Linked DNA regions of Macaca mulatta. The protein of the gene in region 1 interacts with the protein of each later gene in a pairwise test. Links are inferred from orthologs where the notes say so. Each region holds a gene or a part of one and is shown on either strand. Other genes may lie near its edges. The genes, in order: UBE2I, DDX39A, SETX, PIAS3, MAPK1IP1L, SETBP1 and HNRNPC.

Region 1 (4,300 bases):
GATCCTGCCTGGATGAGGCGCCTTTGCCACCCCACAATCCGACACCACTCCCGTCTTCCTCGGGGCCGCACACCTGCGTCGCCGTGACGTGAAGAGCAAGGGACGTTCTCAGCAGAGCCTCAGACAAGCGACAAACCCAAGTGACACCATGTCTCAGGCAAAGCTGAGACCTGCTGGGACTGCTCAGCTCAGGGGGACCGAAGCTGCTTTGAGTTTCAGAGTGAAACCCAGAGGGTGGCATGGGCCGGAGGGAACAAGGCCTCGGGCAGGACCAGCACCTCAGGGCTCTCTCCTTCCTTCAGGGTTCACCAGCATGAACCTTATGTGCACACCAGCCTGGAGTCCCCGGCCAAGTGCTTCACGGGAGCCGGGCAAAGACGACAGGCACACAGGCCGCCCTGCTCCCCACAGACACACAGGGGGCCCCAAGCAGGCATCCTAGGCTGCTGTCGCCAGTCCCTGTGCCCCAGGAGGTTCTCCAGGAGGCGGCTTTACGCCAGGGTGGCTCTCCAGCAAACCCAGCTACCGTGACCTGAGCCACACCTGGAAGGACACAGCAGAATCCCGGGTTCCAGCCTGCAAAGGCTGCCCGCCCTCAGGCCTGCTCCCAACACACACCAGAGCCCCTCCCCTCTGCCACAGCTCAGCCCTGTGCCCAGCCTGCTTCCTTCTCAACCAGAAATGCCCTCGGTGGGGACACAGCTGTCACCCCAACCTTGCCAGCACCACCTTCTGAGCTCAAGTCCGCACGGGGCGGGGGCCAGGCCACAGCTGGGGATCTGACCTGTTGTCCGCAGCCCGTGACAAGGGCGGCCGTCACAGACGGCAGGGGCTGAGCAGTTTCCCCGTGGCGTTGCCACACGCATCTGTTGAGCCCCGACAGGCAGGAGGCTAGCAGCGCGCGCCTCTTACCCCTTTCTTTCCTGGAATGGCGCACTCCCAGTTCATGAGGTTCATCGTGCCATCGGGATTTTTTGTTGGGACAGCCACGAAACCCTGAGAGAAAACAACCACAAAAGCACATCAGTGCGGTGGCATCTCGTTTGACCAAAACCACCGAGAACCGGCCCGCGAGCCCCACCAGCGCGACCCAGGCACGCGGCCAGCTCCCTCCCAGTGGTGGGGGGCACGGTTTCAGCCCAGGGGGGCCGTCCGCGGCACTGCACACGGAAACGAAGCCCTCCTTACAAACGGGTGGTCTTTCCTCCATGCTTTCCTCTCCTGGGCGAGTCTGCTGAGGGCGATCCCCGACATGTTCAGAGTCCCTGGAACACAGGAGGCAGAGCACGGGGTCAGGACAGGCTAGCGGGCTCCTGCGGCCCCGCCACGTGCACACGGCCCGCAGTGGGCAGTCTTGCTCCTAACAGGCGCCAGCCCAGCCCAGCAGAGACTCTCCTCCTGGAAGCCGTCGTCCGACCCCGGGGTCTACCAGGGGAGGCCTCATGAGTGGATCCCAGATCACCGGGGGTGGGGGGACAGGTAGGACCCCTTCCCCATGGGCCCCCCGAGCCCTGGTCTGCGACACGTGCCGCGGCCTCTGCTCCACGGTGGAGACGGATGTTCAGAGGCTGGGCTGCTGTGGCTGGGCGGTAGCTGCCACCCTGTGGTGGCTGGCGTGGCAGGGTCCTCACTGAACCGTCAGGTGGGGACTAGGCAGGGCTGGGTCCCAGCCTTACTATCTGGGTCCCCGCCTTACTATCAGGCGCTCAGAACTGAGACTCAAGCCGGGCCAGGGGGACACCTAATATTGTTTTTTTTTTTTTTTTTGAGATGGAGTCTCACTCTGTCCCTCAGGCTGGAGTGCAGTGGCACTATCTCGGCTCATTGCAACCTCCGTTTCTTGAGTTCAAGCAATTCTCCTGCCTCAGCCTCCCGGGTAGCTGGGACTACAGGCCCCCGCCACCATGCCCGGCTAATTTTTGTATTTTTAATAGAGATGGGGTTTCACCGTGTTGAAGACAGAGTGGAACAAGTACCACAGGGCAGAGGCTCAGCCTCGCTGAAAGAGGAGCCCCCCACAGGGCCACCGTTCCCGGACCCTGCAGCCGCTAGCATGTCCCTGTGGCTTCAGGGGACAGACGGGTCCTGTGGGGCAGGGCAGGAGCATGGGGTACGGGACCAGGTCCCTGGTCAGAGGCAGCGGCACACACGCCAGATTCCAGCTCCACACTTCTCCACGGGACCTCAGGGGCTTGGCACCTTTGCCTTCTGGTTCCCAGCGGGAGCCTGTCGGCCCGCACTGTCCCCGGGGACACCAGGCAAACAGGGCCAGCAGCCTCGACACCAGCCTCACCTGTCACCCTACTGGTGGTCACCTTTACCATGAAAAACAGCACTCAGGGCACAAAACCTGCCAGAGAATTCAAGCCCAAGTGTGTGCTGGTTTTCAAAGTCCACGGGAACACTGAAGCTGCCTCCAAGTCTGGCATCTCAGCGCCAAGCAAGGGCCACCTCGACAAAGCTGGGGGTTGCGCCAGGCCTTCCAAACCGTGGGGGGCCGTCCCTACAAGGGCCCTGGTGACCTGGATGGCGCCCGCACCTGTGCAGGCCCACGAACCTCACACACCTCACAGCTGCAGGAAGGGGCCAGGTCAGCAGCTCCACCTGGGCCAGAGCCGCCGCAGCCTCACCTGGCACTTGTTAGGGAGGCAAGGCCCAGTCCCCAGCAGACTCATTGAGGAAGGAGCTCCGAGAGGCCCACATTCGGGTTTTGGGCGGCACGATGGCTTCCCGAGGCAGCAAAGCAGAAATCAGGGGTGGGGCTGGGATCAAGGAAGCCCAGGCGGGTCCAGTGTCGCCAGGGAACCAGGGTGCTGGAAGCCAGGCGGGGCTGCTAGAGCCGCCTGCCCTGCAGGTGGATTTGGCTCCTTTTTAACCAAACACGGATCCTCAGGGCAGCCTGAGAAAAATCAGGCAAAGGAACCCGGGTCCTCCAGTCAGTAGGTGCTGGCATCACAGCGAGAGGGTGACAGGGGCCATCCGGGCACTGGCCTCCAGCTACACGATTAAGTCCAAGACAGGTAGCCCCAGACTGGGCCCCACCGGGATGTCCCTCCCCATGCCCTCCTCACAGGGATGCGGAGGAGCCCGCAGGCCGCCTGCCCTCTGGACCACTTGCCCATCCCCATGCCCTTCTCTAAGTGGGGGTGGGGGGAAGCCAGGGGCCAGAAAGGGAGAAAGTGGGGGACACAGCTGGGCTCAGCTGTGGGCAGGCAGGGTTCGAGCCCAGAGTGGAGTGGAGCTCCCGCCAACCACGGTTTCAAGGCTCTCTCTGCACGTGTCTCCACCCTCCACTTCCACATGGAGCAGCTCAGTTGTGGCTTGAGGACTCACAGCTCTCGCTTCCCCAGCCCCAGGGTGGGCTTCATGAGTAGCCACAGCCTGTGCCTGGTGCGGTGCAAAGCAGCCTGGTGAACGGCCGTTTTGAGGAGCCACGACCTCCCAGGTGCCCGGGGTCTGAGCGGGGCCAGGAATCAAGCAGGTCTCTGAAGCCCCAGGCCAGTGCTCCAGACACTGAAGGACCAAGGCCAACACGATCCTCACAGCCAGGCAAGGCCAGGCCCCAGAGAGGCCAGCCCCAGAGAGGCCAGCCAGGCCTGGAACCCTGCCACAGGTAGCCCTCCTACTGAAGACCGGACAGAGCCACCTAGAGGCCCCCGTCCCAGCACCTAGCTATTGCTGTCTCAGATGTGAGAAGTCGTGAGGGTGCTCCTGTGAGACCTCCCGCCAAGGTCTGGCTGATGCTGCTGTATCCCCTGCCCCAAAGCACTCAGCACCACAGGGTGGTCTCACAGGAAACTGCACCACAGGGCAAGGAGCCACAGGTGCACACCCACCCTGTCCTAGGCAGAAGCCAGGCCCCTCCCCCTGCTCCCCCTCCTACTGGCCTCCTGGAGAAAGTGGCCAATGTGTTACAATGTAATCACAACACAGACGAAGCATTCAAAATCCCGCTGAAAATCGAATTTGCCCTTCCAAATTAACAGATAAGCACTAAGTGAATGGCTAGCAGTTACTAGACCCTTCAGAGCAGGGAACTTATATGAGGCAAAGACAAAAACAACCCTCATCTATCAGAGCCAAGCAAGGCCCAGACACTGCAGCAACCAGGACAGGGCCAAGCACTCCAGGAGTGGCCTGAAGGTCTGCCTTCTGTCCTGCTGGGCACCCGCGACCGGCTGAGCTTTAGCTTCTCGGATCACCACCTTGCTCTGCTGGTTGACAGCACCGACTTCCGAGCAACTTCCTGGCTGAGGGTGAGCAAAGCACTCACCTCTCACAACTCCACCGCACTCATCTC
Region 2 (4,241 bases), on another chromosome or scaffold:
CCGCGCCTGGCCTGTAAAGCTGTTCTAATTAAAAATAATAATAACAAGGCCAGGCGCAGTGGCTCACGCCTGTAATCCCAGCACTTTAGGAGGCCTAGGCAGGCGGATCACGAGGTCAGGAGTTCGAGACCAGCCTGACCAACATGGTGAAACCCTGTCTCTGCTGAAAATACAAAAATTATCTGAGCGTGGTGGCAAGCACCTGTAATCCCAGCTACTCAGGAGGCTGAGGCAGGAGAATCTCTTGAACCCTGGAGGCGGAGGTTGCAGTGAGCCGAGGTGCCACTGCGCTGCAGCCTGGGTGACAGAGCAAGATTCCGTCTCAATAATAATAAAAAACAGGTGATAGCACATTGGGGCCAGCATGGTAGCATAGGTGAGAACTGGCCAGAGGGCCTTGATGGGATTCACTGCCTCATGGACAGGGATGCTGAGAGAGAAAAAACAGCCATTGAGAGAATGGAATTGCTGTTTCTGGGCTGGGATTGAGTGACAGTGGGGCCAGAAGTGGCTTAGGATCCTCAGCATCCAGCCTCAGGAAGAATTGTATCAGCTGCAGCCCTCTGCTCCACCCCCCACTGGAGTCTGGGGTAGAGGAGGAGGATGAAAGACAATTGTCCTCATGTTTGGGTCCCTTGCACCCAGCAGGCACTTGGTATGCATTAGATTAATAAAGCAAAGAGGTAGGCAGACTTTGTATTAATTCCATTTTCCATCTTCTCAGCTTTATTTTTATTGGCCCAGGCCCAATAGGAGGCCTTTCATGAGAGCACTTAATTATTCCCTTGTGCAGACCACAGAGAGCGGGAGAAGCTGGGGCTGGGCAGATACTGCTTGCTCTCTTGCAAACTTAGTTCCCGCCAGCATCCTGGCAGCCCTACCCCTGGGGTCTTTGGGCTCCTGCCCCATGAAAGCCCAGTGGGTTCCTTGCGGAGTGATAGGGAGGGGGCTTCTCTGGGCTAGGTAGCCCGAGGAGGTTCACTGGAGCTGAGGCTTGCGTGTGGAGAAGAAGGCATTTGTGCAGAGACCTGGGGCCGAGCATTGCTGGTGGTGACAACCGGGTTCAAAGGCTTGGGGCAGGAGTTCCAGGGGTCTGAGCAGCTGAACAAGGCTGGGGGTGGTGTGGGATGAGGTGGGCAGGGGTCAAACCAAGGGGATTGCCTGACCTGTGGTGAGAGTTGGGATTTTAACTCTGCAAGCCATGGGAAGCCCTTGGAGGTGGAGGGTGTTCTGTCTGTGGGTGTAGCAAGCGGGGCATGGGGGAGAGATAGGGTGGCTTGGGGGTGCGGAGGTGAAGACAGGGCGAAGCTACGAGATGCAGCCCAGGTGGAGCTGACAGGCTGGCTTATGGAAGGAGGTGGTAGAGAATGCCGTTTGAATGAAGCTTCATCATCCTTCTGTGCCCACTCGCGGGACCCTGCCTCTCTCTCTTCTCAGCATCATGGCAGAACAGGATGTGGAAAATGATCTTTTGGATTACGATGAAGAGGAAGAGCCCCAGGCTCCTCAAGAGAGCACACCGGCTCCCCCTAAGAAAGACATCAAGGGATCCTACGTTTCCATCCACAGCTCTGGCTTCCGGGACTTTCTGCTGAAGCCGGAGCTCCTGCGGGCCATCGTGGACTGTGGCTTTGAGCATCCGTCTGAGGGTACGCCTTCTGGGTGTCATCCTCTTGCCCAGGTCCTCACCAAGACAAGACCAGCCCTGCCCGCCCAGAGCGGTGCTGCCTCCAGTGTGCCGTGGGTGAGGGAGGGGCCTGCCCGCCCCTTGGATCAGTTGTGCCCAGCAGGGCCTATGGCTGCTCTCAGCACCGGGGTGCTCTGCTTTGACCAGGCAGATACCCTAGCCCTGCAGGTGTCTGTGGCCTTGTCCGGACTTGGCCTTTTCTGATTGCCCTCACTGTGGGCCCCCTGGTCAACTGGTGAGCAGCCTGCACGGGGGTGTGTCCAGGTTCTCGTCTCTCACGCTCTGCTTCTCCTGCAGTCCAGCACGAGTGCATTCCCCAGGCCATCCTGGGCATGGACGTCCTGTGCCAAGCCAAGTCTGGGATGGGCAAGACAGCGGTCTTCGTGCTGGCCACCCTACAGCAGATTGAGCCTGTTAACGGACAGGTGGGTGGGCTTCTTCCTTCCCAGCCCCACCCTACCTGTGGTGGCCGAAGTAGAGGGGCTGGATGAGGTGGCTCACACCTGTTAGCCCATCGCTTTGGGAAACCAAGGCTGGAGGATTGCGTGAGGCCAGGAAGTCGAGGCTGCAGTGTGCTATGATCCTACCACTGCACTCCAGCCTGGGTGACAGAGGGAGACTCTATCTCAAAATATAGAGTAATCAGTTATTACAAAAATCAGAAATTGCCAATAAGCCAAAATAACTGGAAAGTGCCTACAGTTTGCCCCTTGCCCCAGAGGTATTGCTGCTGTTTTGCTGTGCCACCTACCTAGAGAGTGTCCATCTATGAAGGTTGGGTTGCCCCGAATACAGCTGTCACTGCTGTCCTTGCTGTTAGGCCCTGGCTGTCTTCTCCCTTTATCTTGTGTGCCACTATCTTGGGGAGACACTTCAGTGAATTCTGGTGTCTTGCTCCTGAGTCAGGTCGGGTGCACATCTTTGGGCCTCATATTGGCGCCCGTGCGCTTGTTATCTCAGAGCACATCCTGATGGATGAAGGTGCCGTGGAGAGCTGTGGTGTGGTCCAGTGTCTGGTGGCATGGGTGGGAAGACCGGGGCTGGGGCCGCCTGAGTGCCGAGATTCAGGAAATCCTTAAAGAGCTGGGTCCCACGTCACCTGGGCAGGCCAGGTCTAACCATTATGCGGGCCATTTTCTGTTTCTCGTTGCGGGTCCTGGTGTTGGGAGACAAGTTTCAGTAGCTGTGGGAGGGTATAGGGAGTGAGGGTTGGAGAAGGGCCGTGAGAAGGGGGAGGCATTTGGACCGGGTCTTCAAATGGCCTATGATGTTGGGTGCAGTATGTTGGGGGGACTGGGTTGGGTGGACTCTGGTGGGGGAGGGGTTTAGGATACTGCCTGAGGGCCCTTTTTTCGTGCGACTTCCCAGGTGACGGTCCTGGTCATGTGCCACACGAGGGAGCTGGCCTTCCAGATCAGCAAGGAGTATGAGCGCTTCTCCAAGTACATGCCCAGCGTCAAGGTGAGCCCCTCAGGTTGGACTTGGTCAGGCGCCGCTTGGTTTCTGCAGCTTTGTTAGCCTCGGCTCTGGCCCAGCCAGCATTTACCAAGCTTGGCAGGGGCAGCTGCCTTTGAGGTTTGCGGTGGTTTTTGCTCCTTAAAAGCCTGATGAATTATGCATGGCTCCCAGGGGCCTGTGCAGGTCCCAGCCTGGGGCTTCCTTTGAGTGGAGCCCCGGGAGGCTCTCAGGCCTGCCTTGGTCCCCTGAGGCCTCCTGTTCACAGGTGCTGGGGTTGGGTATTAGGTGCCCTCAGGGGCTGCTGGGGCCGAGCTGGTTGGGGCCTTGGGCCAGGTATCAGCATGGAGCAGCTTCCTCCTCCTCCTCCCCATAGGTGTCTGTGTTCTTCGGGGGTCTCTCCATCAAGAAGGATGAAGAAGTGTTGAAGAAGAACTGTCCCCATGTCGTGGTGGGGACCCCGGGCCGCATCCTGGCGCTCGTGCGGAACAGGAGCTTCAGCCTAAAGAATGTGAAGCACTTTGTGCTGGACGAGTGTGACAAGATGCTGGAGCAGCTGGGTGAGTCATCTGCCCTTGCAGCCTCAGCTGGAGAGTCAGTGACTAGGTGGGCCCCATAGCAGGCGGAAGACTCTTGAGTGGGTCACATGGGTGGCTGGCAGGCGGGGCTCCTGTGGTGATCTTAGGGAAAGCTCTGCTGCTGGCAGAGGGACGTGCTGTTTCTGAGCCCGAGCCGAATGGGACCACGGGACCCAAATAAGCCCCCGTCCCTCCTGGACGTAAAGGCACGCGCACATACCTCTAGGAGTGTGAGACTTCTGCCACCTGTTGGGTTGGTTCTAGGCCCCACCTGCCCTCAGGGAGCCTCGACAGGGCCGGTGGGAGATGGGCTTGTGTCCTGGGAGGCAGCTGCAGCTCTCACCCCAGCGGCTGTCTCTGCCTCAGGCTCCCCTCCCTGAAGCGTGTCTCGAGGCGCACGGGCACGGCTGCTCCGCGCCAGCGCGTAAGTGGATTGCAGCTCCTCCCGCGCCTGCGCTCGCTGGCCACCCCCCAGCCCCTCAGGCACCAGGACTGGCCACTCCCGCGGCTCACTCTGCCCT
Region 3 (3,500 bases), on another chromosome or scaffold:
GTGGGAGGTAGTGAATCTAAACTTCCGGATGTTTAGCTGAGAAGTGTATTTGAAGTTTCTGGCCTAAGGATAAGTCTGTAGAAAGTTACAGTTATACCTATGGTGAAGCATCCTATATTTTTGGTTTTGACACATTACCTCTCTTTTTGGTGGGTGCTCAGAGAGTTGCTTTAATTTTGGTTTTGCAGCTTGAGCATTGTCTGGACACACCCATTTGTCATTCAGTAATGATTCCAAGCGGTTACAGTCTGATGAAACTAACAAAATAGACCTCAAGAAGAACTGAGTTGTACAAAAACTTAACAGGATTCACAGTAGTTTAGAAGCAATTATTTTCTCCCTAAAAGACAAAATATGCCCTATTGAGATTTCCTGGGCTTAGCCATTAGGCTAGTGATGATTTTAAGTTTGAAGACAAAACCACACACACAGCCTTTTGAAGAAGAACTACGGAAGCGTATGTTCTCTTGGTGTGCTCTGCAGCAGTGTTCTCCATTATCTTCTAGATGCCACGACACTCACCTATTTTGGTAGTAACTCCCATATGCTTCGAGAAAATTTAGTCTTGCTTTTTCCGTTGTGGAAATAGGCTCTTTTTCTGAGTGAAATAAAAAGCAAATTCTGTAATTTTCTTAATAGAAGGTTTCTTTTGTTGTCTCCTTTGTTAGTAAAGTACACAACATTAAGAGTTTCAAGTAAGGTAAGTGGGAAAAGAAGTACGCAATGTTTTATTTGCATGGTAGTCCCACTTAAGTTTTTTAGATCTTAAATTGACTGCAGTCTGTTAGCTGCTGAGGTCATGCTTAAAACGATGTTTGAGAAACCTCCTTGAAGTTTCACTTTCTGTTCTTACGTCTTCTAAGTTTGCTTTCCATGTCAAACTAGGTCGCCAGAAAAAAACCAGCTTCTGCAAGCTGTTAACTTACTAGTAGTATGATATTAGCCTCTTAGGTATAAGTAATTCTTCTTCTTTTGAATAAAACAGTTTTAAATTCTGCAGAAATATATTGAAGATCTTATCCCATGTTACTTGGCATTTCCTGGTTTGCAGTGCCCCTGTACTAGGACGCCTTAATAAAATGTAATTGAGAGTTAGTGTCAGGAAAGGGTGGTGCTATGCAGCTATCACTGCATACTCTTTTTCTCCCCAACTTCGATGAGAACTGTAACTCATGTTACCCTTTTCGTCTGCTTTCCGGAAGCTCCTAATGTAGAACTTAGTGAAATTAAATTCCTTCTAAAGAAGTTTTGATTTTGTTTTTTGAAATCTCATTTTTAAATGTCCTTTTGTGTATGTACTTTAATGTTGAAAGCTACCCTGAATTTTTTTTAGAACCATGAAGAAAGCATACCCCTTCAAATGCATAAGTAAAAGTAATATTTAATAAATTTTGAGAAATCAATTCATATGACAATGTATTTGCTTATGCATTTCTAAATAATTATTTAATTGTGGGTATAAGAAGAAATTAAAGAATTTTTAGAAATCACTGTATTTTAGGAACTAGCTTTATGCCACAGAAGCCTCAGCAGCCAAGCCTATTTTCTGTTGAGATGTTTTATTTTTCCTGTTGGTAAAGATTATGTATTCTTTTTTTTTTTTTTTTTTTTTTTTTTTGAGATGAAGTCTCACTCTGTCGCCCAGGCTGGAGTGCAGTGGCGAGATCTCGGCTCACTGCAAGCTCCGCCTCCCGGGTTCATGCCATTCTCCTGCCTCAGCCTCCTGAGTAGCTGGGACTACAGGTGCCCGCCACTTCGCCCAGCTAGTTTTTTGTATTTTTTAGTAGAGACGGGGTTTCACTGGGTTAGCCAGGATGGTCTCGATCTCCTGACCTCGTGATCCGCCCGTCTCGGCCTCCCAAAGTGCTGGGATTACAGGCTTGAGCCACCGCGCCCGGTCAAGATTATGTATTCTTAAGTTTAGGGTGATGGTGATACTCAAAAATCTCACACTGCCATGTTTCCCTTCCCACATACCCGATGTCTTCACTTAGGTTTTTTTTTTTTGGAGACAGAATTTCACTCTGTCACCCAGGCTGGAGTGCAGTGGCGCAGTCTTGGCTCACTGCAACCTCGGCCTCCCAGGTTCAAGCGATACTCCTGCCTCAGCCTCCCGAGTAGCGGAATTGCAGATGCGCACCAACAGCTAATTTTTGTATTTTTTTTTAGTAGTGACAGGGTTTCACCATGTTGGCCAGGCTGGTCTCGCACTGCTGACCTCAAGCAAGGCCACCTCGGCCTCCCAAAGTGCTGGGATTGCAGGTGTGAGCCACCGCCTTACTTAGGTGTTTTAACCTCCTTCTAACCTTCTTTCTCCCTGAATGGAGAGTTTTTAAACATTTTTAAAAACTGCCCTCCTGTGAATTTTAATACTACCAATATATTGTGTCTTTCTTTATGTACTGTCTGTTTATCTGAGCTTTATATCTGAAAGAGGAGGACTTTTTCACGTCCCACTAACTAGTTTTAGATCTCTCTGAGGGTGACATCACTCCTGGTGAGGATGCATGAGCTAGGTCCTTTCAATTTATGAAATGAACTTAAGTTCATACTTGGTAACTTTTTTCCCCACTCCAAAATCTGTACTTTGAAAATGTTGATAAGTCTGGGTCTCTGTATATTTTCTGTCAGTACTGTGTAGTTTTGAGCCTTCTCTGTAGCACAACTTTATGTTGCCTTATGATACTTACTCCTTTTAAAATGCTTTCATTTTTCTGAATTTTTCATATGTCAACAATGGAAGGGTTTTTTTTTAGTTTAGTGAGTTCAGTGATTGATCAGCCAGCCAGCAGAAGATTTGGGCTTTAGTGACACATTTTAAATTGAAACCAGGGTCACAAGTTGGAAGTGTACCTGTTCTTGACACACAGACGGTCTGAAGTTGGTTTTCTTCTTGATGTTGTTTTCTTCTTGATGTCGTCTTTTCTGGCTGTAGGTACAGAATGAGCACATGTTGTTGGTGTACTCCAGGTGGTGGTTCCACCGTTGACTTCCTAAAGCGCTATGCTTCCAACACTCCATCCAGTGAATTTCAAACAGCTGACGAAGATCTCTGCTACTGCTTAGAGTGTGTGGCAGAATACCACAAAGCAAGAGATGAATTGCCATTCTTGCATGAGGTAATTTATATCAGATGGGCAATATTTTTCAGAGCGTGACAGCTAGGAAGATAATAAGTTTGAACTCTGTTGGATATTCAGAGAAATGATGATACGATTGCAACTTTGTGGGGGTTTTTTTGTTTGTTTTTATTGTTAGAGATGGAGTCTCTCACTCAGACTGGAGTGCAGTGGAGCGATTATACATATATCATTTTACACATTCGAGTATATTCTTAGGACAAATTCCTGAAAGTGAAAGTGCTGCTCATGATTTTCCATGGGCCACATGGGTTTTCATAGTTTGTTTTGCTAAGTTTTGGAGACAAGGTCTTTGCTCTGTTGCCGAGGCTGGAAGTGCAGTGGTGAGATCACGGTTCACTGCAGCCTCAGCCTTCTTGA
Region 4 (4,096 bases), on another chromosome or scaffold:
AGGCACAAGAGGATGGATAGGGAAAAGCGCAGGGCAGAAGAGAAGAAAGTCAGAAAGCAGAGTCCAGGGGTAACCCCCCAGGGATGAGGGAGGAAGACTGGAAGAGATGTACCTGGATGTAAGAATCTGCTGCACTTGCTGGGGTGTGAGGGCAAAGGTAAAGTGCGCTTCCTCAAACCGCTGGCTAGAAGTGGATGCTGAGGATACAAAGGGGCAGTTATTCCAAGCCCATGCACAGGCAGCCACAGAAATCACCCCCATCCCAGGTCACTGATCCCATAGGACTAAAGCCTAAGAAATGTCTGGGGAACAGGTAGGGAGTCCAGAAGACTAAGGGACCACAAAGAGCCATACCAAGGGTGGTGGGCCGGATGAGCTCCCCGTAGACTTCATAGAAGGGCAATGGTTTCATGGTGACATCAGGGTGCACAGGCTGGGCAAGAGAGGGGTGCATGTCCACCTCACGCTTGGGGCCCAGCAGGGTGCCAGGGGCCAAGAGGGTTGGGGGAATGGGAGCTAGAGGACCAGGGGAGCCTACAGGAGAGGTGCCAGGAGGCAAAGAGAGAAGGGAGAGGTCAGAGGGCCCCAGGGTCTTCCGGGGAAAGCGTCGTCGGTAAAGCTCTTTGATCTTCATCTGGACGCTAGGGGCACAGCTGGACTTCAGGAGGTGCAGGGCCTTGGCCAGGAGCTCGTGCTTCCGCCCACTCTTGTTCCGGCCAGCAAAGCCAAGAAGCACCTGGAGCTCAGACACCCGGAAACTCATCACCATGTGCTGTGGAGAAGAACAGAGAAGCTTGAGAATCCTCCGTTGCACAGGCCTGCCCTGCCAAGACATGGGCTGAGCTACCAGGTGGGCAGTGCCTTTTTCCCTCCAGCACTGATGGGAAAGATGATGCTTCGCAGCTAGTGGATTACTGCCAGGTAGTCAACCTATCCAAAGGGACATCTCAGTCCCACTTTAGCAACCATCAGGTCAGCATCATCACCACCCCCTGCCCACCCCAAGCTTGAGCAACACTGTCTGTCTCCCCAGGCCTGGAAGTGGCCAGAGTGGGGCAGGGAATGGCAGACAGCAAGCCACCCTCAGACACACCTCCAAGTCTACACAGCCTCCCGCCTCCAACCCTGCCTCTAGTCTGGACTCTCCTTTAAGCTGCTTATCTCCTCTCTTGCCCTTTCTCAGACACTCAAACTCATCCCAGCCTCCTGGGAAGAGGATAGGAGACAGGGAGAAGGAGGGAGAGACAAGAGGATTCAAGCCAGACAGCCCCACGGGGAAGAAAGGGGCCAGGTGGCTGGAGGATTGTGCCCTTCAGCCCACCCCTCCAAACCACCTTAATTCCTCAGCTATTTCCCCCAAGCCTCTGAAGCTTCTGTGGGCCGGGGTTTTCAGGTCAGGGTTCAATGCTCATTACTCCCCCAGATCCTTTCTTGGAATCATTAATATAACCGCCCCCTCCCCACAACTTAGTCCTATTTTTCTGGAAGGGAAACAGGACCAAAACTTAGGTTGAGGAGATTAACAGTGATTCACTGAGTCCAAGTATCCTGCCTGTTTACTCTATCTGCCAGGAACCATTATCTGGCGTCTCTCCTACAGAGAGAAAATAATACTCCTGTACAACCTACAGCCCCCCTACACGGGTGGAAGAGGAGCGGGCAGAGCTCTAAACAGAGGCCCTGGGTGGATGAAGGAAAAGCCTCTGAGTCAGGGCACAGAATCGCAAATTTCCTGAAGGTAGCTGGGCCCAGTGGCTAGACCTCCAGACTGCCCAGGACCATAGCTCCATTTCAAAGGGCAGAAGAAAACCAGGAGGCATGGGGATGAACTCGGTGGTTTAAGGTTCTATGAGATGTCCTCAGACGTGGTCACCCTCCAAACTCTGTGTGGCAGAAGGAGGGGAGCGCTCTCCTTAGAGGGAGGACTCCCTTCTGTGAATCTCTAGGAGATCCTGTCATGGGCAGGGCTTGCTAGCCCTACACAATTCTTCTCACAGGAGGCTTTGTCTTGGACCCCTTTTGTGGAATGTGATGAGAAACTTGCTCCTCTTTCTCCCAATCTTTATCTTCTCTGTCCTGTCTTATTTTTTCCATTAGCTTTCCCTATAACTTCCCTCCTTTCTATCTCATAGTTTCACATGCCTCTGCCTCTGCCCAAACATCGCGATTCACTAAGGCAGGACCTTCCTCTGAGCCTCCAGGATGCTTCTGCCCCACCCCTCGAGGTATCAGCCCGCACAGCCCCGCCCCCTGCATCTCAGCCGCCTACTGGTATTTCCCAAAGCTCGGATCCCGAGAGTAGCCCCAAAGACCCTACCCTTTCAGCTGCCTTTCCCCCGGAGCCTCCCCTACATCTGCCCCGCGGTCCCATCCCTGCATCTGCCCCCTACTGTCGCATCTCTTGGCCTCGATCGACTCGCCCCCAGTGCCTCTAGAGCAGCTTTTCCCCCTGGCCCTACCCCAACAACTGCCCCTACTACTAAATCCGACTTCTACCCTTCGTCCCCGCCCCCTGCGCCTCAGCCCCCAACAGCTGCAATTCCCCTCGGCCCCACCCCTACATCTGCCCCGCAGCCCCGCCCCCGGAGCCCCGCCGCAGCCCCTTCCTCGCTCTCAGCCACTTCTTTCCCATCCTCAGCAGCCCGTGCCTGCCACGTCGTCGGCGCCCACCCGAGCCCCGGCACCCAGTCTCGGTCGCTTCCCGGACACGGCGTACCGCCGGAATCAGTCCAGATGGGGATGGGGGAGGGGGCCGGTACCTTTAATTCGCCCAGCTCCGCCATCTTGAGACATCGCAGGCGCCCTAGCCGGAGCCGGAGCTCAGGCCCAGGGACCGGCGCACAACTCTCCACCCCGGCGCCGGCCGCAAATGCCGCCTGCTCCGCCCCGTCCGGCCCCCTATACCTCCCCTTCCCGGCCCCGCCCGCCTGGCTTCGGACTAGCCCCAGCCTGAGCCCCTCCCTCCACAGCGGACCCAGCAGCTACACGTCTGCGGCGGGTTGGCAGGACGCGTAGCCCCGGAGGGAGTTTATGGCCCCCAAGATCGCGGGGTCCCCTAGGGCAACGAAGAGGAGGCGGGTCCGAAGTGCCTGGTGGAGGGGGGCTTTGCCACGGCAGAGTTGGGAGGGGACAAGCTTTTAGAGAGCCAAAGATACTTGAAAGATGGAGGGAAAGTATCGGGAACTGCTAGAGCTCAGAGAAATGGGGGAGGGGGTAGCGAAGTTGGAGCGCAAACCCTCATCTCCATCTCTACATAAGTTTAAGCAACTAAAATCGAGAGGTCTTCCAACTCGGGAAATGGGCGAGCGCTGATCCGTCTTAGGGAAGCCGTGGAGTCGGCATTCAGTTCAAGACAGCTATACTCAATTCACCCTCTCCTCCTCCCCCCAACACCAACTACAATGCAGCTCGTGGTCCGATCGTAGGACTCAAACTCAGCAGCAAAAAAAGTTTGGTGCGGGGAGCGGGACTTACCAGCACAGTTGTGGGAAATGGAGAGAGGGTTCGGGAGGCTCAGAGGGCGGGCTGGAGAGGTGGGGGCATGGGGCTCGGCGCCGCTCCTGCTGTCCGCACGGCAGAAGTTCGGTCCAGCGGCCGGACGCGGCGGCCGCGGCTCCGCCCGGGCCGGAGCTCCGCCCGGCCTAGCGCTCGGGCTGGGGCCGCCCCCTCCACGGGAAGCCCGCCAGGACCGCCGAGAGGGAAGGGGGGCGGAGCTCGGGCGAGAGAGGGAGGGACTCAGAGCCTGGCGCTGGAGCGATTAACTCCTGGTGTGAGTGGATCTGGAGAGATGAGATCCTTGGATCCCATCATTCTCACTACCTCTGTGACCCCTCACGCTTATGTGTGGGATTGGGGTGGTGGCACGCTGCTGCTAAGGCCGTGTGAACCAGGTGTCTGACCGTATAAAGCAGTCTTCCTTGAAATGACAACTGTCTCTCCCTAGGGCAAAGCCTGGGCTACTGAATCCAAAGTGTACCTAACAGTAACTACTCCAGATACCCCTGCACAGTACCTCCACCAGAGCCCCCATACCTTTGGTGTAGCTGAAGATGAATTGAGGGGTTTTCTTGCCAACAAAAGGAATCTTTCTGTCCCT
Region 5 (2,840 bases), on another chromosome or scaffold:
AGTTTATCTGTGATAAGTTTTTCATCTCTTAAGAAAAACAACGTGGTCCTAACTGGCCTTCGTAAATCTTTTCACTTAAAAGAGATGCTTTAACCAGGCGCGATGGTGTGCACCTGTAGTCCTAGCTCCTTGGGAGGATCCCTTGACCCCACGATTTCCAGGCTGCAGTGAGCCATGATCGTGCCATTGCACTACTGCCTGGGCGATAGAGTGAGACTCTGTTTATAAATAAATAAAAGAGATGCTTTTTGTGATTCTTGGCTTTGGGGGTAGGAGAGGGATTTTGATAGGTGATTTGCCTTGGTGATTTGCCAAACATGGAGATAATAGCATGTTTGGAAATGTTTCCTATATTTCTTTATGAATCCTTAAATGAAAATTTAAGATGTTACTTCTATTCTCTTTTACCCTGATAGTATTAGTAGCCAACATTTATTGGAAATTATTATATACCAGGCACTGTGTTAAGTGTACTACATGAACTATCATATTTAAGCCTCAAATTAACCCTAAAATAGTTTTTGAAACTGAAGAAGCTCTATCTCAGAGTATGTAGCTCCTTTGAGGTTAAGCCAGGATTCAAATCCATACCTTGACTGTTAGTTCTATCTTCTTAATTACTGTACTTTGTTATATTAATACAGCAGAGAAATGAAGCACAATATGATTAGTTGTATTTAGAAAACGAGCTTCTCTGAAGAACTTGCACTGTAAAGTTGATATTCAAAGTTAACACCTCAAGTTTTATGTTAAATCGAGTACGTTTTAAATGACTAGCTTAGCTTTTGAAGATGTTCTTGAGGTTTATAATCCCTGGCCCTGTAGGTTACTGTTCTTTGTGGGTTTATAATGGTGTTTGGTATAACTTTTCTCTTGATAAGATAGATAAGATGTTATCTGTTTTGTGTTCCAGTTGGCAGATGCACTACCTGAACACTCCCCTGCCAAAACCTCTGCTGTGAGCAATACAAAACCTGGCCAACCTCCTCAAGGCTGGCCAGGCTCCAGCCCTTGGAATAATCCGAGTGCTCCACCTTCGGTGCCATCTGGACTCCCACCAAGTGCAACGCCCTCCACTGTGCCTTTTGGACCAGCACCAACAGGAATGTATCCCTCCGTGCCTCCCACCGGACCACCTCCAGGACCCCCAGCACCCTTTCCTCCTTCTGGACCATCATGCCCCCCACCCGGTGGTCCTTACCCAGCCCCAACAGTGCCAGGCCCTGGCCCCACAGGGCCATATCCTACACCAAATATGCCCTTTCCAGAGCTACCCAGACCATATGGTGCACCCACAGATCCAGCTGCAGCTGGTCCTTTAGGTCCATGGGGATCCATGTCTTCTGGACCTTGGGCACCAGGAATGGGAGGGCAGTATCCTACCCCTAATATGCCATATCCATCTCCAGGGCCATATCCCGCTCCTCCTCCTCCCCAAGCCCCTGGGGCAGCACCACCTGTTCCATGGGGCACCGTTCCACCAGGAGCCTGGGGACCACCAGCACCATATCCTGCCCCTACAGGATCGTATCCCACACCAGGACTCTATCCTACTCCCAGTAATCCTTTCCAAGTGCCTTCAGGACCTTCTGGTGCTCCACCGATGCCTGGTGGCCCCCATGTGAGTGTTCAATTTGTTATTTAAAGTGTACTAATTGTACATAGCACAACTGAAAGATTGTTTCTCCCCAGTTTTGGATGGAAGATTAAGAAGGCTTTTAAGTTTTTAAAAGAGGGTGTGTGTATATTAAATGAGTAAATTTCAAACCTTCAGGTAAAGCATTTAAAAGGATGAAAGCAGTATTTTAAGTATCCCTTGTGCTAAAAAGAAAAATTTTCCAAAGATCCCCAAAGACTTTGTAATGTAGTAAGCAGTGTCCCTCAATAGCATCCTTTAGTTAAACTCTGAGATTCACTGGGCTTTTTGTTTTATTATTATTATTTCTCAGTATCGTTTCATAGCATCACACCAAAGTATAGTTCAGTAAAAGCAGTCTCTACCTGTCTAGCTTGATAGAGGTAGATTTTTAGAGAATCCAAGCCAGTGAGTAGGTAATGTTGCCCATCTTTCAAGCAATTCTCGAGCTCGGGATTGTACCCCTATTCTTTATTGTCAGTTACATGTAATGCTTTATGCTTTACTGTCAGACAAGCCAGAGTGGGGTTAACATCTTAGTTGAGGAGCCTGCCTTGGTCATATAACCGAATGGAAAAGTACCCCATTTCCCCTGTGAGGTAAGCCAAGCGAGTATCCAAACGCAGAAGATTTTCCTTAGGAAAAAAAAGTCTGTTAACTGGTTTGGTTTTTTTGTTTGTTTTTTTTTTTTTTTTGAGACAGTCTTGCTCTGTCATCCAGGCAGCAGTGCAGTGGTGCGGTCTCTTGGTTCACTGCAATATCTACCTCCCAGGTTCAAGCAGTTCTCTTGAGTAGCTGGGATTACAGGCGTGCGCCACCACACTGGCTCATTTTTTAATTTTTAGTAGAGATGGAGTTTCACCATGTTGGCCAGGCTGGTCTTGAACTCCTGACCTCAAGTGATCCGCCCGCTTCAGCCTCCCAAAGTGCTGGGATTACTGAGCCCACCGTGCACGACCAGAAAAAAAAAATCTGTTAACTCTTAATACACAAATAACTAGTCAGATCTCTGATTAGATTAGTCAAACATCCACTCCAGCTATAAAGGAAAAGAAATCTTTAAAGTACCCCCAAAACTTCCTCCTTGCATTAGTGTAATTTCTTGCTATATATATTATCTAAAAATATTTGTTTTGCAAAGTGTACGCCAGAGTAAGTGATGTGACTTGCTGTTTGGATTTATTAAGCAATAAATTTACTTTAA
Region 6 (3,500 bases), on another chromosome or scaffold:
GTGAACAAGATCCTGAAGGCCAAGCGGCTGCAGAGACAATCAAAAACAGGCAACAACTTCGTGAAGAAGAGGCGCGGGCGTCCCAGGAAGCAACCCACCCAGTTCGATGAGGACTCCAGAGACCAAATGCCGGTGCTGGAAAAATGCATCGACCTGCCCAGCAAAAGGGGCCAGAAGCCCAGCCTGAGCCCGCTGGTGCTGGAGCCCGCCGCCAGCCAAGACACCATCATGGCCACCATCGAAGCGGTCATCCACATGGCCCGGGAGGCGCCGCCCCTGCCCCCGCCACCCCCACCGCCCCTACCGCCACCGCCGCCACCGCCCCTACCCCCACCACCCCCTCTACCCAAGACCCCCCGAGGCGGAAAGAGGAAACACAAACCGCAGGCCCCCGCTCAGCCCCCGCAGCAGCCGCCCCCGCAGCAGCCCCTTCCCCAGGAAGAGGAGGTGAAAGCCAAAAGGCAGAGGAAGTCCCGAGGGAGTGAGAGCGAGGTCCTTCCCTAGGGCGGGTCTGGGCGTCTGCACCTGGGGCCTAGGGAACTGATACGTGGAAAGCGCAGTGGGCGGGGGCGGAATCCCCGGCTGCAGGGACACCCACGCCCTTCTCTCCAGAAGCCGGGCAGGCAGAATCCGGCCAGACGACGGGCTGAGCCATCAGGAGCTCTAAGGAAAGCAAAGCAGGGAGACACCTTCAGAAGAAGCTTGTCAGCTTCACCGCAGCTCCCACCACGCGGCGCTTCAGTACGGCTGGATCGTCCGCAGGCGAGCGGAAGGCCCCCAGGAGGAGCAGGATGGTGGCGCTCTCCTGACCTCCCGCTGCCAAAGTGCGCCCTCGACTCCGATTTCATTTGCTGGCCAGGAAAATCGAAAGGGAAACACCCTCAATTAGGAAACATTCCAAGGGGAGAAAAGCTGCAAATTGCTCAACTGGCATTGCTGTAACCCGTTCCATTTAATTGGTTTTTATTTCTTTTGATTTTCAAGCTCTGCTAAGCTTTGGGGTACCAACGTCATCTTCAGGTGACCTGAATCTTTCCCTTAACCGTACAGTTTCTCAGATGGAATTGTGTGATCAGAAGGTGGAGTTCTAGTGATAGGCGACCTTAGACCCGCATTCATGTTCTGTGTGCCTCTTCTGTCGCACATACACTGATTTTTAGCGTTGTCTATTCCTACTTTTCCTTTGCCCGTTGTACTTCCATATATCTTTTCATTGACGTACTTGCTGCTTTTTTTTTTTTAATCTTGGTACACATTTAAATAATACAATTCTTAACCTGTGCTGTAAAGTTCAACCTTGGCATGCTGTTCCAAGAACCTGGCTTTGAATCCCAATCATTGTGAAACATACTCAGTATTGATAAAACCTTTTTAATAAGTTACGCAGAGCAGCCAAGGATATGTTGACCCAGATGTCAACCAGGCTATTTTTATACTTAAAACATGTCAGCAGAGCAGAGGCAGAATAAAATGGTTTTAATACCCCACAGCAAATAGAATAACTTGACAAGCCACCAAAAACTGACACCCCAGACCCACCAGAAAGACAAGTGTCTAGCAATGCCCTGGTACCTGATCTTTTTCATACGAATAATTGTCATAGGTTGTTCAAAAAAAAAAAGGAAAAAAAGGAAACAAAAAGACAATAGAAGAAGTCCATTATCCCTGGATAATTATTTCTTAAAAGCAAATGGGAGTAAGTGTTCTTATCTGGAAAAATAAATAAATAAAATGCTCAAAGGGTATCACCACTTCAATTATATCAAGCCACCTTGGACAAAGTATCCAAATTGTGGTTGCCTTAAATAAACTAAAACATTATTGTACATAATGTAATTATAAATCTATCAGTCTGCATGGATGCAAACTGTGTGTGACAAATCGTCTTTTAAATGGTCAATTTCAGCTGTACATTTCTCATCCAAGTTGTACTCTAACCATTGGTTTAGCGTGGACAGATATTCCATCTCTATTATCCATTTCCACAGCCCGAATAAAATATGTTAAGCAGGCTCAGAATGAATACGAAGAATTCCATTTCCGTAGATGTTTTCTAAAAGTCAGATTGTGGAAATTTCAAATAAGTATTTTCAATTTCCTCCCTCACTCCCCCTTACCTTCCCCAAGACATCAAACACCTGGCATGGTAGATTATAGAAAGAGACACTGAGAGAGAGAATTAAATTTTCTAATGGGAATTAGAATATCTGGTTTACCTCCAAATTAAGTTTCTTTACGGGAAGTTGGGACCAGCTGGAAATTGTATTATCATTTCAGAACACAATATTATTTCCTTAGAGAGAGAGAGGGATTTTTGTTGGCAACATAAGAGAATAAGTGATGGGGTATCTATGTGAGTAAATTTTTAAATTCCAAGTTAATGTGCTTGCAAACATTACTGCTCCGTTATGGCACCAAGATTTGGTTGAAATTACCCACATAGTCATACTATTGTGCTCTGTCACCATGGACTTCACATCATTTGCTGCCCGCTAGGTCAGTCGCATTTAATACTAGCAATATGTAAGTTTAAAGGACGGCATTCCCCTCTACTTTAAAGCTTATATTCTAGATACTCAGTTTGTGACCTTGGTTGACCTTTGGCATTTCACACAAGTTAAACAGCAAAATCAAAGCAGCCATTTTTAATTCGTCATTCCCAAGCCCTGTCTGAGTGGTTCCAAAGTCACCTGAGAGGAAGGTTTAAATTAGCCCCTCTCACCCCACCATTGCTAAGAAACAGCAACCATTTTCATTCCAATTCAGCCATAAAGAGGTTTCTCTTCCTGGGTTTTGAAATCATTTCCTTCTTTCTTTCGTTTGCCCTTCCTCCTTCCTGTGTTGTACTGTCTCTCCAGCCACGTCTATAAGCAGACTCAACCTTCTTGCAGAGGAAGATGAGCTGGCACTCTGCAAACTTCTTTAATAAGGACCCAAAGTTTAATTGACATTAACCTCTAGTAGGTGAGAAATTCCAAAAAAGCTTTGGGGTACATTAGAATTTCCAAAGCCCTGAAAGATATTTCAGGAGATTTAACAGCAGAGTTGCAACTTACACGTGAATTCTGGTCTATAGTGGTCATGTGAGTTAAATTCGAATCCCCTACTTGTATGACCCTAGGAATAGACTGGAATACTGCAGAGGACCAAAGCTGAGGCATGCGAAACAGCCGCTTGGAGGCGGAAGCAAGTTCGGTCACCTACACAGCTTCCTCTCTCCACCACCCAGTTCCTCTCTCAGTATCACATTATGTTATTCTGCTTTTCATTTACCTAACTCATCAGTACAACCATTTCCTTATTCTCTAACTACCCCCAATTCCTTTAGCCTCTCCCCACCTGTCCAAACTCAGCTCAGCCGTGGGCCAATGCAGCTTACAGACAGTTGGCAGTTGGTTGCAGAGCTGGGAAGAAAACCCAACTCTCCTGACCCTGATGGTGGAGGTCTCTGGGCCCCCCAACACTGTCTTCTGGGTGGGGCTGCTTTTTTTTTTTTTTTT
Region 7 (4,204 bases), on another chromosome or scaffold:
AAATGTAGTATACACAAAACCAAAAGCTTCCCATTTCCAATGAGAATACAAGAATATGCATATTAAGAGCAAATAATGCTCCCCAGAGACAACTACTAATTATTTGAAGACTGAAATAATGTGGTTAAGAATAGTAGTAACTACTACTAATTTAGAAAACTGGGGCCGGGTGCCGTGGCTCACACCTGCGTAATACCAGCATTTTGGGAGGCGGAGGCACGAGGATTGCCTGATCTCAGAAGTGAGACCAGCCTGACCAACACGGTGAAACCCCGTCTCTACTAAAAATATAAAAATCAGCCCGGCGTGGTGGCGCACGCCTGTAATCCCAGCTACTTGGGAAGCTGAGGCAGGAGAATCGCTCAAACCCGGGAGGCAGAGGCTGCAGTGAACCGAGATTGTGCCACTGCACTCCAGCCTGGGGCAACAGTGAGACTCCGTCTCAAAAAAAAAAAAAAAAAAAAAACTGCTTTAAAAAGACTGCATCTGTACAGTTTTTAGTCTTCTGGCAACGAAAAATTTGAATTAGAAACTAAAAATTCAAATAAGTTAAAAAAAAAAAAGTCTAAGTCCTCTTATTTAAGCAAGGAGGATTAAAATCTATTTCTCCTCCTAGGCAAACTTACTCCCTATTCAACACCTCACATTCAACACTTAATATTAAGTTTTAATAATTTGCCCCTTAGTCTTTAAAATTAGAGCAACTAGCTATTTGAGTTTATTCTTTGTGTCGCACTGCCATTCCATCCAAAACAAGGTCGAATGCCATGTCAAATCCTCTAAGAGATTTAATTACAAACGTAAGCTGTTTAAATTCTCCACAGAAGGAACATCAACTACCAAGTATTCCCAAGAGTGGCACACGAATGGGGGGAAAAAAAGGTCAGAAAACCTGCAACCTGGCCATCCTTCAACTTTTCCCCCTAGCCAATACGCTAGCCAATACGAAAATGTTACTAAATGCCTATCCAGTTGAGAACACACCTGGAATTGTGATATAAATGCCGTGGCAAACAGTTCTTGATATTAAAGAATTTTTGGTACGCTGATATACATACTGATCTGATATACATACTGATCGGAAGGAACCCGTATTTCTAACACCTCAAAGGCAAAGAAAAGTGCCTGTCAATCAATTTCAGCTATTATCAACTGTTCTTAAATACTAACTTCTGACATTTCTCATTGCCAACATTTTTACTACATGATTTCCCCATTAATCTATTTTTGCCTTTACCTCATTTCTAACAGTTTAGCACGATGATAAACTTTAGTTTTAAGTTCCTGTAATAATATATTTAAACTTAAAGGGGTCGCGATGTTTTTGACCCTTATTTTACTTCCTATCAAATAGGTTGCCTTACAGATAAATTTCTTACCCGGCAGAATTGGTTTAAACTGTGCTTAACAGCTTTAGTTTTTGTGAAATTAACAGATTGTAAAAAATAACCAAATCTCATGTGAGGATTTAAAAAACCGATTTCCCAGATAAGTGAACGTGACACTAAAGATCTGTAACTTTAACTTACAAGTTTTTTATCAAATTTCAGCACCGAGCAAATAACAGCACTGTTAATATTTGCTTAATAAAATGTAGCTGTGAATTTTTGCCCAAGTTTAGGTGGACGGGAAAATTAACATCAGAATAACCCGAAAGTCAAATTTTGTCATCTTACACTTAGGAAGTTACGTTAACAACAAATTCTCAAGTCTCGTAGTATTTTTCTTAAGCGCAATTTGGGAATTTCCAGTTACCTCGTGGTTTCCGTCATCAGGTTCTTGCAAAGATTCAAATATTGTACTTTTAGAACCCGGTATTCCATTAACCAGGTAAAAACCACTCGACTGACCTCGTGGTCAAATTCCTTAGTAGTTCTGCTACTGACTTAATTATGACCCTAGCAATCAACACTTTGCCTCAGTTTCTGTCTGAGAAAGAGAGTTAATACCTACCTCAAGCAAAGTTCCACTAACTTATATATTTCAAGTGTTTTGTAACCTGCAGATGAAAAGTCAGCTGTAATTATTAATATAGTTATACACAATATTTCCTTTTACAAACGTAAGTGAAAATAACTACTTCGAGCTCCATTATTTGCTCATAGAGAGGAATAAAATAAAAAGTTATCAGTAAAATGCTAAATCTTTTGTTAAACCTTTCTCATAGGCCACGCGGCACGATCCAGGATTTAAAGGCTCGCGATACATCTACTTGGTAACCTTCCCCCTCCCCCTCCCCCAATTTTTACATGTAAGAAGAACCGAGGTAATAGAAGGCATCGGCGCTATGTTAACTTCGACTATATTAATGAACATCGCGATCTTCATTTTCAGGATCCCGGAGTCCTCGCGGTCGTAGAAAATGAAAGGAAAGCAGCCGTTAACACAGGAAGAGCGAAAAAAGGGCATTTTCCCTGGCGATCGTGGCCCAGAGGACACCAGGTTAAACCTACGCAGAGGCTGAGGCCTGTAAAACCGCCTCCCGCTTCAGACCTAATCCCCCAAAACAAACAGAATAAATGAGGGCCCGGTTAGTTAGGGGGAAGGGTTCCCTCATATTCTCTCCCACACCCCCTCTAGCTTCCCAAAAAACCCAGCGCCTTCCCTGCGTCCGCCCTCTCCACTTACCAGGAGGGGGGAGGGAGAAGAGATTCGATTCTGAGTCTCCTACTCCCGGATTCGGCGTGAAGAAACCGACTGCAGGTCGAGGTCGGCAGCGCGGCCACAACCGCTCAGTCTTCGTCTCTTCACAAAATGGCCCCCGAGTCTCCTCTGCCGCCGAGGCGAAGGCCTAGTCCCCGCCCCATCCCTAAGAATCTTCCTATTGGCTGTGTGTTTTTTCGCTCCCGCTCCTAATTAGACAGTTCAACCGCTTCTCACAATGATATCCAGTCACAATTGGCAGTGGGTTAGACTAAGCAGAAGAATTTCCACATGCGTGAGAGAAACTAGTTTGTAACTGGTTAATTTTCCTGTCATTTATCGTCTGGGGAATGTTTATTGGCTATTGCACCGGACGACCCTCTGGGTGGAAACTCGCCTTTGTATCGCGCACCGTCTCACATCCGGGTATCTGGAAGGCCTGATTGGCGGCCGCGGTGTCCTATCGCTGCTCCTTAGAGTGCCTAGTAAAAGGTTCGCTCAGACCTCGGATTTCCGGCGGCGCGGGGGCGGGGAAGGGCTTGAGGGGCGTTGTTAGGTGACGGGCGCAAAGGACTTGCCCTAGCCCCGGGCCTAGGAGAAAAAAAGCGCGAAATGAAGCCTCCGGCGTGCAATATGAATAAAGAAAGAACTTTACTTAAAATGAGGAGGGAGCAGCGGTGACTAGGCCGTGTTAAAGTGTGTAGAAAACTAACCAGCCCTGCCGTTTTTCCAACCCGAGAGCCTTTCTCAGGTCCAGATTCGAATGTCAGCTACCTCGTAGACATCTCTGCTTCTCAGCCTATTAAACCCTTCTTCAGACAACACATATTCCATCCAAACCAACTGACTTCCTTATTCCTCTCCAATATGAAAAGTAAATGAAGTGCAAAATCCCGGCCTCTGGCCCAAGTCATCTCACTAATATCTTAAGTGCCAGTAAAATTGGCCCATCCCTCCGAATCTGCTCCCTTAATTTCCCTCCTCTTAAAATGGCTTGTCTCCTACGTACCCCCGTCACCTGCCAGTCCTTCTGGTTACATTATAGGAACTGCGCACACAGTGGATTAGCATCAGCTCTACTAAGGGAGCCATTTCTTTTTTTTTTTTTTTTCTTTTTTCTTTTCTTTTCTTTTTTTTTTTTGAGGCAGAGTCACTGTCGCCCAGGCTGGAGTGCAACTGCCTCCAGTTGAGGTTGATTGGCGGCCGCGGTGTCCTATCGCTGCTCCTTTTTTTTTTTTTTTTTTTTTTTTTTTTTGAGACGGAGTCTCGCTCTGTCACCCAGGCTGGAGTGCTGTGGCCGGATCTCAGCTCACTGCAAGCTCCGCCTCCCGGGTTCCCGCCATTCTCCTGCCTCAGCCTCCCGAGTAGCCGGGACTACAGGCGCCCGCCACCTCGCCCGGCTAGTTTTTTTTTTGTATTTTTTAGTAGAGACGGGGTTTCACCGTGTTAGCCAGGATGGTCTCGATCTCCTGACCTCGTGATCCGCCCGTCTCGGCCTCCCAAAGTGCTGGGATTACAGGCTTGAGCCACCGCGCCCGGCATATCGCTGCTCCTTAAGGCG

What was found.
Region 2: the proteins of UBE2I (region 1) and DDX39A interact in a two-hybrid assay, tested with the Homo sapiens proteins (3 studies listed by BioGRID, with this or other methods). The link is inferred for Macaca mulatta from reciprocal best matches to the Homo sapiens genes UBE2I and DDX39A.
Region 3: the proteins of UBE2I (region 1) and SETX interact in binary tests that used the Homo sapiens proteins (3 or more experiments, as listed by UniProt). The link is inferred for Macaca mulatta from reciprocal best matches to the Homo sapiens genes UBE2I and SETX.
Region 4: the proteins of UBE2I (region 1) and PIAS3 interact in a two-hybrid assay, tested with the Homo sapiens proteins (2 studies listed by BioGRID and IntAct). The link is inferred for Macaca mulatta from reciprocal best matches to the Homo sapiens genes UBE2I and PIAS3.
Region 5: the proteins of UBE2I (region 1) and MAPK1IP1L interact in a two-hybrid assay, tested with the Homo sapiens proteins (3 studies listed by BioGRID and IntAct). The two-hybrid records come from large-scale screens. The link is inferred for Macaca mulatta from reciprocal best matches to the Homo sapiens genes UBE2I and MAPK1IP1L.
Region 6: the proteins of UBE2I (region 1) and SETBP1 interact in a two-hybrid assay, tested with the Homo sapiens proteins (2 studies listed by BioGRID). The two-hybrid records come from large-scale screens. The link is inferred for Macaca mulatta from reciprocal best matches to the Homo sapiens genes UBE2I and SETBP1.
Region 7: the proteins of UBE2I (region 1) and HNRNPC interact in a two-hybrid assay, tested with the Homo sapiens proteins (2 studies listed by BioGRID and IntAct). The two-hybrid records come from large-scale screens. The link is inferred for Macaca mulatta from reciprocal best matches to the Homo sapiens genes UBE2I and HNRNPC.

What each region holds. Positions count from the first base shown.
Region 1 is NC_133425.1:2,512,388-2,516,687, reverse strand, and holds the start of UBE2I (SUMO-conjugating enzyme UBC9), read right to left. Parts: upstream 2,801-4,300; 5' UTR 2,631-2,800; intron 1,266-2,630; 5' UTR 1,255-1,265; coding exon 1,189-1,254; intron 997-1,188; coding exon 913-996; intron 1-912. UniProt on the Homo sapiens protein: Accepts the ubiquitin-like proteins SUMO1, SUMO2, SUMO3, SUMO4 and SUMO1P1/SUMO5 from the UBLE1A-UBLE1B E1 complex and catalyzes their covalent attachment to other proteins with the help of an E3 ligase such as RANBP2, CBX4 and ZNF451.
Region 2 is NC_133424.1:15,013,197-15,017,437, reverse strand, and holds the start of DDX39A (ATP-dependent RNA helicase DDX39A), read left to right. Parts: upstream 1-1,441; coding exon 1,442-1,649; intron 1,650-1,984; coding exon 1,985-2,112; intron 2,113-3,055; coding exon 3,056-3,148; intron 3,149-3,518; coding exon 3,519-3,702; intron 3,703-4,241. UniProt on the Homo sapiens protein: Helicase that plays an essential role in mRNA export and is involved in multiple steps in RNA metabolism including alternative splicing. Regulates nuclear mRNA export to the cytoplasm through association with ECD.
Region 3 is NC_133420.1:15,130,863-15,134,362, forward strand, and holds part of SETX (putative helicase senataxin), read left to right. Parts: intron 1-2,935; 5' UTR 2,936-2,942; coding exon 2,943-3,119; intron 3,120-3,500. UniProt on the Homo sapiens protein: Probable RNA/DNA helicase involved in diverse aspects of RNA metabolism and genomic integrity.
Region 4 is NC_133406.1:119,438,376-119,442,471, reverse strand, and holds the start of PIAS3 (E3 SUMO-protein ligase PIAS3), read right to left. Parts: upstream 2,801-4,096; 5' UTR 2,784-2,800; coding exon 2,760-2,783; intron 773-2,759; coding exon 355-772; intron 198-354; coding exon 113-197; intron 1-112. UniProt on the Homo sapiens protein: Functions as an E3-type small ubiquitin-like modifier (SUMO) ligase, stabilizing the interaction between UBE2I and the substrate, and as a SUMO-tethering factor.
Region 5 is NC_133412.1:128,193,152-128,195,991, forward strand, and holds part of MAPK1IP1L (MAPK-interacting and spindle-stabilizing protein-like), read left to right. Parts: intron 1-913; coding exon 914-1,621; intron 1,622-2,840.
Region 6 is NC_133423.1:47,334,648-47,338,147, reverse strand, and holds part of SETBP1 (SET-binding protein), read left to right. Parts: coding exon 1-504; 3' UTR 505-3,500.
Region 7 is NC_133412.1:94,116,737-94,120,940, forward strand, and holds the start of HNRNPC (heterogeneous nuclear ribonucleoproteins C1/C2), read right to left. Parts: upstream 2,801-4,204; 5' UTR 2,629-2,800; intron 2,000-2,628; exon of another isoform or gene 1,954-1,999; intron 1-1,953. UniProt on the Homo sapiens protein: Binds pre-mRNA and nucleates the assembly of 40S hnRNP particles. Interacts with poly-U tracts in the 3'-UTR or 5'-UTR of mRNA and modulates the stability and the level of translation of bound mRNA molecules. Single HNRNPC tetramers bind 230-240 nucleotides.